Linked DNA regions of Macaca fascicularis. The protein of the gene in region 3 interacts with the protein of the main gene of each other region in a pairwise test. Links are inferred from orthologs where the notes say so. Each region holds a gene or a part of one and is shown on either strand. Other genes may lie near its edges.

Region 1 (3,651 bases), about 28 Mb from region 3:
TTGCTTAATCCATTGAAGAGTCAAAACATACCCACACTACGGTGACGGGGCCTTTTCAAAGAAATTTGTGTACTTTTATGCACTGGGCCTTCTTCACAGTGAGTAGGTACTGAAGTGACAGTATTAGATGGATTATCAGCATGGGGTTGGGTTTGCACAACTTCATTTTCACACGTAATCTAAAAATATAAATCGGAGGAGAAATATATTAAAGTTTACCTTATAGGGTTTTATCTTTCAAAAGTTACAAGTAGTAAAAGAGTATAGCTGAAAATTTTCAGTCACATATTAGTAAGGCTGATACTTGAACCTAGGCAAGGTGAATCTATAGTCCAAGCTTTCATGAATTCTGCCATACTGTCTTTTTTCCACTTATAAATCATGAACTCTGGTCAGCCAGAATGTATAAGCTATTTGCTTACAACTAATTATTTTTTTCTTAAATCAACAGCTAGAAGAGATAATACTTTTTTTATTTTTTGAGACAGAGTTTTGCTCTTGTTGTCCAAGCTGGAGTACAATGGTGCGATCTCAGCTCACTGCAATCTCCGCCTCCCAGGTTCAATTGATTCTCCTGTCTCAGCTTCCCAAGTAGCTGGGATTACAGGCAGGTGCCACCATGGCTAGCTAATTTTTTTGTATTTTTAGTAGAATCACGGTTTCACCATGTTAGTCAGGCTGGTCTCGAACTCCTGACCTCAGGTGATCCACCCGCCTCGGCCTCCCAAAGTGTTAGGATTATGGGCGTGAGGCACCGCGCCCAGCCGAGATAATATTATTAGTATTAACTAATTTGATATCTTAGCAGTCATATTATTCTAGAAAACCTAATCATTTGTTCTTTATACTTTATAGAGGACTCCTTTAATAAGATAAATGACTTTTAATACTTTGCTGAGAAAAATTACATTGTGAAATGGATTTTTTTCTTTTCTTTTCCTTTTTTTTTTTTTTTGGAGACAGGGGTCTCCGTCTGTCACCCAGGCTGGAGTGCAGAGGCATGATCTTGGTTCACTGCAACATCCACCCCCTGGGTTCAAGCAATTCTCGTGCCTCAGCCTCCCAAGTAGCTGGGATTACAGGTGCCTGCCACCATGCCTGGCTAATTTTTTGTATTTTTAGTAGAGATAATGTTTCACCATGGTGACCAGGCTGGTCTCAAACTTCTGACCGCAGGTGATCCGCCTGCCTCAGCCTCCCAAAGTGCTGGGATTACAGGCGTGTGCCATTGTGCCAGGCGGTGAAATTTGATTTGTGGGGGAAGTAATATGGGTCAGAGGTAGAAAGAGGGAGGGTTTTGATATGTAAAAGGTAATATAAGACAGGGTACCTACAGATTATGTGGAAGAGGGTAAGAAATATCTGGAAAAGTCAAGAGGGCCTGGGAGGAGAGAAAATAAGTGATAGAGAAATGAAAACAAAATTAAAGTGTTTAGCAGTAGTGGCAGCTGCCTTCAAACCACTGAAAAAATATTTTAGTAGGTGTCTTTGGTGGCTGTACCATAGGCCCAGGCTATTGATACCCAAGTTAAAGAAACTTTGTGGCCAGGCACAGTAGCTCATGCCTCCCAGCACTTCGAGAGGCGGAGGCATGTGGATTACTTGAGGTCAGGATTTCGAGATCAGCCTGGCCAACATGGTGAAACCCCATCTCTACTAAAATACAAAAATTAGCTGGTGTGGTGGCACATCAGCTACTTGGGAGGCTGAGGCACAATAACTGCTTCAAACCGGGAGGCAGAGGTTGTTGCAGTGAGCAGAGATCACACCACTGCACTCCAGCCTGGGTAACAGAGTGAGACTCTGTTTCAAACACACACATACCCACACACAGGAAAAAAAAAAAAAAAAAAAAAAAAGATACTTTGTAAAGAAATTTTTGTGAAGAGTCCCTTTGTAACATGATTCTTATTTAAAGGGTTTATCTCCATGTTTAAAAAATCATGACCAATTTTCACTAGTTATATCTACGTCTAAGTCAAGCATTGTCAAAGTCCAGAATAAGCACATATTTCTTTACAAAGAGGTGTATTCTGGATAAAATCGAGTTTTAGAAATTTAATCAGGGTTTGAAAAATAACTTTTGTTCCCTTTATAACAATAATACATTTTTTACTGCAAAAATTTGCATCATACAGAGAAGCAAAAATAAACTAAAAATTTGTCATAATCTCATAATCCATAGCTAAAACTTTATATTTTGATGTTTTTTGTCTTTTTCTGTGTATTTTTAAAAATTGAGATAATATAATGCTTTATAACCTAGTTTTGCCACTTATTTTATATATCATCTTTCTATGTTATTAAATATTCTACATCATAATTTTTATTGCCACATAGGAATGTATTATACAGATATACTACAATTTATTAAAACAATCCGTATTACTAGAAATATTTGAACATAAATCTCCTACGTAGATATCTGATTGCTTCTTCAGATTAAAAGCTTAGAGGCAGAATTTCCAAGCATGTATTAATCCACTAGGACATGAGTCAAAAGAAAATATCTAGAATGAGGCAGAAAGAGACAAAAGGAAAACAGAAAATACAGAAAATGTCATAATAGACATAGGGGATAAGATTTCAGAGTATAACATAAAATGGGGCAGACACAGTATTTGAACAAATAACAGCTGAGAATTTATCAAAATGGATAAAAGGCATTAAGTCATGGTTTTGCAAAAGTACTATAAACCTTTTCTATTTATCAAAATAAAAACAACAGAAACCAAACCTATGCACACTACAGTAAAACTGGAAAATGAAGAGAAAAACTTAACAGCAGTCAGAGGAAAAAAGATACATTCTCTTCAATGGAGTAACCATAAGACAGAATAATGCCTAAACTTTTTTTTTTTTTCTTTTGAGACGGAGTCTCGCTCAGTCGCCCAGGCTGGAGTGCAGTGGCGCGATCTCGGCTCACTGCAAGCTCCGCCTCCTGGGTTCACGCCATTCTCCTGCCTCAGCCTCCCAAGTAGCTGGGACTACAGGCGCCCGCCGCCACGCCCGGCTAATTCTTTGCATTTTTAGTAGAGACGGGGTTTCACCATGTTAGCCAGGATGGTCTCGATCTCCTGACCTCGTGATCCTCCCGCCTTGGCCTGCCAAAGTGCTGGGATTACAGGCGTGAGCCACCGTGCCCGGCCATGCCTAAACTTTTAAGGACAACACAGAAAAGACTGAAAGTAGAAGGATGGAAACAGATGTACTATGCAAACACTAAGTTAAAGAAACCTGGTGTTGCTATATTAGCACTATATACCTAGTAACATAGCCATGCAAGTTTGATTCAAAATATATACATACCTAATAACATTGCTAATAACCTAATAACTTCAAGATATAGACCACAAAATGGGTAGAATTTGAAGATTAATATGTAAATTCAAAATCGCAGTGGAAGATTGCAACATCACTTTCTTAGTAATTAATTGAATAAGATAAAAATTCCAAAAGGATATAGGAAATTTAAATATGATTAATAGACATAGCGGAACACTATCCAAGTGCAGTACGCACATTCATCTCAAGTACATATGGAACATTTAAAAAACTATTTTGGGCATGTTACAAGTTTCAACAAATTTCAAAAGAGTAAGTCCATATATTGTAGTTTCTCTGGCAGTAGTGTAATTGACCTAGAAATCT
Region 2 (3,751 bases), on a different chromosome or scaffold from region 3:
CCCGTCTCTACTAAAAATACAATTAGCCAGGTATGGTGGTGCACGCCTATAATCCCAGCTACTCGGGAGGCTGAGGCAGGAGAACCCCTTGAACCCGGGAGGCAGAGGCTGCAGTAAGCCGAGATCGTAAGCCGAGATCGCGCCACTGCACTCCAGCCTGGGCGACAGAACGAAACTCCGTCTCAAGAAAAAACAAAAAAATTACTGCAATGAACAGTCTCAGACTTTTATTTAATGCCACCCGGGGAGCTGCCCAAGACCCTCCTGTGGAGTACTCCTACACTACGTACTTCTAGAACTGTGAAGAACTTCTAGAACTACGTACTTCACAGAAGCAGATGGAGAACTGGGGAAGCTCACGCGACCACCATTACCTGCTTGCTTGCTTACTTATGGGCCTATGCCGCCTATTCTACAAAGTGAGCACGTGGAGAGGCAAGGACGATTCTTCTTTCACCTCAGTATTCCCACTGCATGACACAGAGCCCGGCTCGCTGGAACATTTGCTGAAGGACACCTTTTCCACGGATCCCCTCTGGACCCTCGAGCCTGGGCCCTCCTGTGCCCAGCCTCCAGCCCGGGCTATGCCCCTGGGTCCCCGCCCTTCCCTTCCTAGGCTCCGCCGGCCCCCTCAGGACCCCAGGCCCCTCAGACATTGCCCCTAGACGCCAGGTTCCTCAGCTGCCTTCGACCCAAGCCCTGCCTCACCCGCCCCTTCCGAATATGCCGCAAAGGCCACTCCGCTCCCGCACTCACTTGTCCTCGTTGTCTGACATGACACCCCCGCCTCAGGGACCCCGCTGCGTCCCAGTCCCGCACGGAGACCCGCAAATAGCGCCTCTACAACTCGCGGCGCCTCCCTTATCTTGCGCCTGCGCGGTAACCCAGAGGCAATCACTTCCGGGAGGCAGGCCAGAGAGGGGAAGTGCGCATGCGCTGACTCGTGAGTGCGCGTTTCTATGGTAGCCAGAGTCGCTAGCTGCCAGCTCCAGCAGCCCAGATCGCGTAGTATTTCTGCGTGGCACCGGTGCTGGTGCGGCTGTAAAGCAGTGGTCAGTGGTCACCGCCTCCGGGAGCCCACTTGTATGTGCAGAGGGGAGCACCCAGAGTGGGTCTTAGGGTGAAATTTCAATTTTGGCATATCACCCAGTGGGTACGGTTGTGACCATGGCTATATTAACACTCCCTTCCCGAGGGGACTTCCCTGCCACAGGCGCTGGGTCAGAATGAGCACTGTGTGTGTGTACCTGTCTGTGTCTGGGTGGGAGGTTTAGGCACTGTCGCAATATTAACTGGCGGCATCATTCTCTGGCTCGATCTCCGCTTCCAGACTTCTGGGGATGTTGGGCATGGGGGAACAGAGATTAGGAATAGGAGACAGGGGGTGTGTCATTGCGTCTTTCCCTCCTCAGGGTCCTCCCATGGCTTCACAGAAGCAGATGGAGGTAGTGACCAAAGGAACTGGGTTCCGGCGCCGCCCCAAGACGACCACTTACACCCCGGGGACCTGCGAGCTGCTCAGAGGTCAGTGCGTTAAAGCAGCGATCCCCAGCCTTTTTGGCACCAGGGACCGGTTTCGTGGAAGGAAATTTTTCCACTGACGGGAGTGTGGGAAATGGTTTCGGGATGAAACTGTTCACCTCAGATCATCAGATATTAGTTAGATTCTCATAAGAAAAGCGTGCAACCTAGATCCCTCGCGTGCGTAGTTCACAATAGGGTTCGCGCTCCTATGAGAATCTAAGGCCGCCACTGACCTGAAAGGAGGCGGTGAGGCTTGCTAGCCCGCCGCTAACCTCTTGCTGTGCGGCCCGGTTCCTAACAGGCCAGGGACTGGTACCAGTCCACTGACGGGAGGTTGGGGACCCCTGAGTTAAAGGATGAGAGAAGAATGGTGGTAGTTACCCTCTGTAACTGAGTTCCCCCGTACCTGACCTGTGGCTTAGCAATTGCTATTTTCCTTTACAGATAAGGAGCCTGGGGTTCAGAAAGCTTCAAAGTTCTACTGCATATGCCTTAGGCGGGGAGAGGAGGGGGAGGTTCAAGGTGCTACAGCTTGCCAAAAGTCAAAGAACTAAAGTTTTTAGAGTAGTTAACTCCTATGCATCCTTTAGATCACACTTTCAACTTTCCCGAGGAAGATCTCTCCTCCTTACCACCACAGTAGGATCAGCTGTTATGCACCCTCACACATTTTCCTTCACTGGGGTTAGCACAAGCTGTAGTCAGTTATTTATCTGCCTGCGGCCCAGGAGGCCTCACAGAATGCTTTGTCGTGCAGTGATGATGAAGGAATCCAAACTGACGAACATCCAGCAGCGCCACATCATGGACATCATGAAAAGTAAGGGGCAATCCACAGAGCCTTCCTGGCCAGAGGGGATCTGGGGCCACGTTCTTTTTTTTTTTTTTTTTTTTTTTTTTGAGACTGAGTCTTGCCCTGTTGCCCAGGCTGCAGTGTAGTGGCGCGATCTCGGCGCACTGCAAGCTCCACCTCCCGGGTTCACGCCATTCTCCTGCCTCAGCCTCCTGTGTAGCTGGGACTACAGGTGTCTGCCACCACACCCGGCTAATTTTTTGTATTTTCTAGTACAGACGGGGTTTCACTGTGTTAACCAGGATGGCCTCGATCTCCTGACCTTGTGATCTGCCCACCTTGGCCTCCCAAAGTGCTGGGATTACAGGTGTGAGCCACCGTGCCTGGCCTGGGGCCACATTCTTATTTTTTTTTTTAATTTTTTTTTTTTTTTTTTTTTTTTTTTTGGAGACGGAGTCTTGCTCTGTCGCCCAGGTTGGAGTGCAGTGGCCGGATCTCAGCTCACTGCAAGCTCCGCCTCCCGGGTCTATGCCATTCTCCTGCCTCAGCCTCCCGAGTAGCTGGGACTACAGGCGCCCGCCACCTCGCCCGGCTAGTTTTTTGTGTTTTTTAGTAGAGACGGGGTTTCACTGTGTTAGCCAGGATGGTCTCGATCTCCTGACCTCGTGATCCGCCCGTCTCGGCCTCCCAAAGTGCTGGGATTACAGGCTTGAGCCACCGCGCCCGGCCAGGGGGCCACATTCTTAATGCTTCTGCATGTTAAGGGAGAGAGGACCTCATATAAAAAAAAAAAAAACAGCTGGGCACGTGGCTCATGCCGGTAATTCCAACACTTTGGGAAGCCGAGGTGGGAGGATGGCTTGAGCCCAGGAGTTCAAGACCAGCCTGGGCAACACCGCAAGACCTTATCTCCACAAAAAAAATTTTTTTTTTGAGATGGAATCTCACTCTGTCACCCAGGCTGGAGTGCAGCGGCATGATCTCGGCTGACTACAACCTCCACCTCCTGGGTTCAAGCAATTCTCCTGCCTCAGCCTCCTGAGTAGCTGGGATTACAGGCATGCGCCACCACACCTGGCTTAATTTTTGTATTTTTAGTAGAGACGGGGTTTCACCATGTTGGCCAGGCTGGTCTCAAACTCCTGACCTCATGATCTGCCCGCCTCGGCCCCCCAAAGTGCTGGGATTCCAGGTGTCAGCCACCACACCCAGCCTCCAAAATTTTTTAAAATTAGCCAGGTGTGGTGGTGCACACCTGTAGTCCCAGCTACTCAGGAGGTTGAGGTGGGAGGATCACTTGACCCTGGGAGGTCAAGGCTGCAATGAGCTGTGATTGCACCACTGCACTCCAGCCGGGCAACTGAGGGGAACCTGCTCTCAAAATTAAAATAAAATAAAATAAAATAAAATAATAATAAAAAAAATAAAATATAA
Region 3 (3,751 bases):
GACCAGTCAGGGATAAGATAAGGACAGTGACTGAGAGTGTTTAGAAACTTTTATGGTAATTTGACATTTATTCAACATCCAAGCACATAATTTTATTAAAGTATCATTCCATGCAGATTGGAATTTTAAAAAAACAAACAAAAAAAAACCACCCATCTTTTAGTAGGACTAAAGTGGTGAGATCTCAAGAAGGCAATGATGATTCATGTGTATGTATGTGTATATATACACACATATATACACATATGTATTTATTTGAATATATGTATATACTTGAATATTTGTATATATTTCAAATAAATCCAAATTCTAATTTTTCATCTATGAGTGAAACTACTGTCCTGAGCATGTATAGAAAATCAGTTCTATGCTGCCTCCTTGTGGTATCTTACTTGCAGTGAGTTTTAGCAGCAAGTCCTAAGTGTATTTGAAAGAAAGGGGTTAGCAGATAAGAAAAATAAGATAATATTAACTATTCTTTTTGAAATAGTCCATTTTCCATGAATCTTTTAAAGTGCCGTCATACAATTCATCTCTTGTTTCCTCATCACAAATCTCAAAGGTAGGCCAGGCACGGTGGCTCATGCCTGTAATCCCTACACTTTGGGAGGTCAAGGTAGGCAGATCACTTGAGGTCAGGAGTTCGAGACTAGCCTGCCCAACACGGTGAAACCCCGTCTCAACTAAAAATACAAAAATTAGCCAGGCATGGTGGCGGGTGCCTGTAATTCCAGCTACTCGAGAGGCTGAGGCAGGAGGACTGCTCGAACCGCATAGGCAGAGGATGCGGTGAGCCGAGACTGTGCCACTGCACTTCAGCCTGAGTGACAGAGTGAGACTTTGCCTCAAAAAAAAAAAATCTCAAAGGTATGTGAGGAGGAGAGAGTTTATCACTGTAGGTACATGCAGCAGAAGATACCTATATTCTTTCCAAACACCTATATATGTAGACTGAGAAATTAAAACTATTGACTATGAAAATCAAATAAGGCAATGAATATGCCATTTTAAAAGAATCTTACTCCCATATTAAGGATACACAGCTCTAGAAAAAACTAAGCATAGAGCATACGTGGTCACAGCCAACATGTTTACTTTCATTAGTTTAATAATAAAGGAATATTTAAAACGCATAAATTCTTTGTTCTAGCAATTCCACTTCTGGGAATTTTTTCTACTGATATACATACATACACAGAATTACGTAATTCATCACAACACTGTTTGCAGTAATTCTAAGTTGGAAACAGCTTAAATGTCCACATAGAGTATGGTTAAATTATGTTTATATCTAGTCTATTGAATACCATGCAGTCATTACAAAGAACGGAACAACTTTATACTAGCTGCTAAGAGTTGATTTCTAAGCTCTATTGTTAATTTATTTAAAGGAAGGTCCAGAACAGTGTTTATGGTATCTTACCATTTGTGTAAAAAGAAGCTGACACATACAAGATAAATGTTTATGAATGTATATATGTACAGAATGTATGTGGAATAATGCAAAAGGAACTGGGGGAGACAAAAATGAGAAAGTGGATGGAAGGATAAACTTAACACACTTAACTTTGATATCTTTTGAATTTTATACTATCTGCATAGGTTACTGATTAAATATAAAAAATAATATAAAAAGGGTATTATGTAGTATAACAGAATAGGTGTACCTTAGACATCAGATAGACCTTGATTTAAATTCTAGCTCCCCTGCTTTTTTTTAAATCTTAACCTGAGCTTCTGAGCCTGCTTGCTCATCTGTCAGATGGCCATCAAGTATGTGAAAACACCCAGCACATAAAAAGTGCTTAAAAAATTATCAGAAAAGAAACCACCAGGGTGAACTTCAGATTGAACCAATATTTATAAGACCTGCCTACTCCGCGCCAGGAAATGCACTTGGCAGTTCGGTCTTCACAACAAGCCTGTGAAGTAAAAAACGGTAACCTCATTGGACAGACGAAGAAAACAAATCTCCTGGCATGCGTGTAAAAGGTGGAAAGAAAATTAGAGGATTCCTAAGGTGTAACTCGGCAGCCCAAGGATTCCAGGAAAGTGAAGCCCACCTGTGGAGACGGCAGTGGAAGCTGAGAGAAGACTGTGGTCAGAGTCGTGGCTTCCCTTGACACTGTCACAGCTGCCTCATCTGGGGGGTGGCCGAAGAGAAGGCAGGTGCCAATACATTAGCGCTGCACGGACTTGGAAGATACGCGTTCCCTTACCGACCCAGACTTCTCAAAAACACCTCCCGAATGTCGATGTTAGAATTCTAGTTTACCCTCTCAGGTGCTGAGGTGGGTAAGGTATCTCACAGAAAGGATGCAGCAGGGGAGGGCAGTCCCCTCCCTGGGGGAGAGCGAGAGGGAAAGGGGTCGGGACGCTGAAGGAACTGAGGCAAGGGGAGCCGGGACAGGAGGCGCACTCACTGAGTCTTCTCCAGAACATCTCTCGATTAAACTCCTCGGTGGTCTCCTGGGCTTCGCCGACTTGCGGGTGTGGCGTGTGGGGGCCGAATGGTGGCGAGTGGAAAAGCTAAGGTAAGCGGACCTACCTCCCTCGCCCGAGCCTGGCTCCCCGCCGCCGCCGCCCCCGCCCGCCCTCTCCGCGACCCCGAGCCCGGCCTCTCCCCGATCCCGGCCTCTCCCCGAGCCCGCCCCTGCCGTCGCGCGTTCCAACTCCGTCAGCTCACCCCGCACTCGAGGCAGGAGCAACCGCAGCTCCTCCGCCAAGTGCCGGAGCTGCTGCAAAGGTGGAGCCAGGGTGGGGGCTGCGGCTGCAGGTGCAGTTGCGCTCGCCATCTCAGTCGCTTGCCGAAGGCCGCAAACACAAGCCTCCGCCACCACTGCCGGAGCCGCACTGCGACAGCCGCTCCACTTCCGGGCCACAGCGTCAATGGCTCGTTTCCGGCAACAAGCCGTCCAGCCCCGCCCCAGAGCCCCGCCCCCGCCCCCAGAGGTCCAGCACCACCCATCCCATTATGAGACCAGGCCTGGCCCCGCCTCCTCCCGCCCCGCCCTGTCCCCAGAGGTCCAGCACCAACCATCCCAGAGGCCAGGACAGGCCACGCCTTCTCTCGCCCCTTAAGCGAGGCCACACGAGCAAGGCTCAGGCTCACGGTCTTTCTTATTCATCATTCATTCATTTATTTGATTAGTTGAAAACACTTCCGACTAAGGAAGCAGAGAGCCCACAATCCTGCGGGAAAACAGGCCTGGGAACTAATCTCAGCCGTGGTCAGGGTCGGGCCCAGATCCTCAAAGGTTCCCTGCCCTTGAAATTGCACCTTTGACAGCTGCTGAATTTCAAGCACAGCGGTAGGTGCTTTACATGGGGTAACCCCTAAAAAACACACTGGGCCTCAGACACTCCCGTACACACACCCAACCCCTACCCTGTGGGTGTCCTAGATAAGGGTTTTCTCTTCACAAAGATAAATCAACTCTTTGCCTCCTTGAGGAGGGAAGGAATAAAGGCATTATTTTTGAGACTTTTCTGCAGTCCATTCTGCAGGTATCAGTAGTGGGTAATCCCTCCAACATCCAGGAGTCCAAACGAGCAGCAGCTCCCTAAAGCTCACGCACCAATACTGGCCCTCCGCCTGCTACTGGGGTAGAGGCCTAGGCTATAGACACAGAGGCTGGGCTTCTGCCCAGCTGCCAGTGGTGAGACATGGCCTTCAGGAGCTCAGGTGGCTTTTTAACTGCACCATGAAGATTCCAAGCTTGGCGGAGTTCAGTGTCCACACACAACGAAT

What was found.
Region 1: the proteins of CCNDBP1 (region 3) and THAP10 interact in binary tests that used the Homo sapiens proteins (3 or more experiments, as listed by UniProt). The two-hybrid records come from large-scale screens. The link is inferred for Macaca fascicularis from reciprocal best matches to the Homo sapiens genes CCNDBP1 and THAP10.
Region 2: the proteins of CCNDBP1 (region 3) and C10H22orf23 interact in binary tests that used the Homo sapiens proteins (3 or more experiments, as listed by UniProt). The two-hybrid records come from large-scale screens. The link is inferred for Macaca fascicularis from reciprocal best matches to the Homo sapiens genes CCNDBP1 and C22orf23.

What each region holds. Positions count from the first base shown.
Region 1 is NC_088381.1:47,678,053-47,681,703, forward strand, and holds part of THAP10 (THAP domain-containing protein 10), read right to left. Parts: intron 180-3,651; coding exon 32-179; intron 1-31.
Region 2 is NC_088384.1:13,668,659-13,672,409, forward strand, and holds the start of C10H22orf23 (UPF0193 protein EVG1), read left to right. Parts: upstream 1-945; 5' UTR 946-959; coding exon 960-1,052; exon of another isoform or gene 1,053-1,083; intron 1,084-1,412; coding exon 1,413-1,524; intron 1,525-2,281; coding exon 2,282-2,344; intron 2,345-3,751. Other genes in the region: POLR2F (DNA-directed RNA polymerases I, II, and III subunit RPABC2), read right to left, coding at 757-776.
Region 3 is NC_088381.1:19,780,351-19,784,101, reverse strand, and holds the start of CCNDBP1 (cyclin-D1-binding protein 1), read right to left. Parts: upstream 2,796-3,751; coding exon 2,424-2,795; intron 2,144-2,423; coding exon of another isoform or gene 2,064-2,143; intron 1-2,063. Other genes in the region: TMEM62 (transmembrane protein 62), read right to left, coding at 3,674-3,751. UniProt on the Homo sapiens protein: May negatively regulate cell cycle progression. May act at least in part via inhibition of the cyclin-D1/CDK4 complex, thereby preventing phosphorylation of RB1 and blocking E2F-dependent transcription.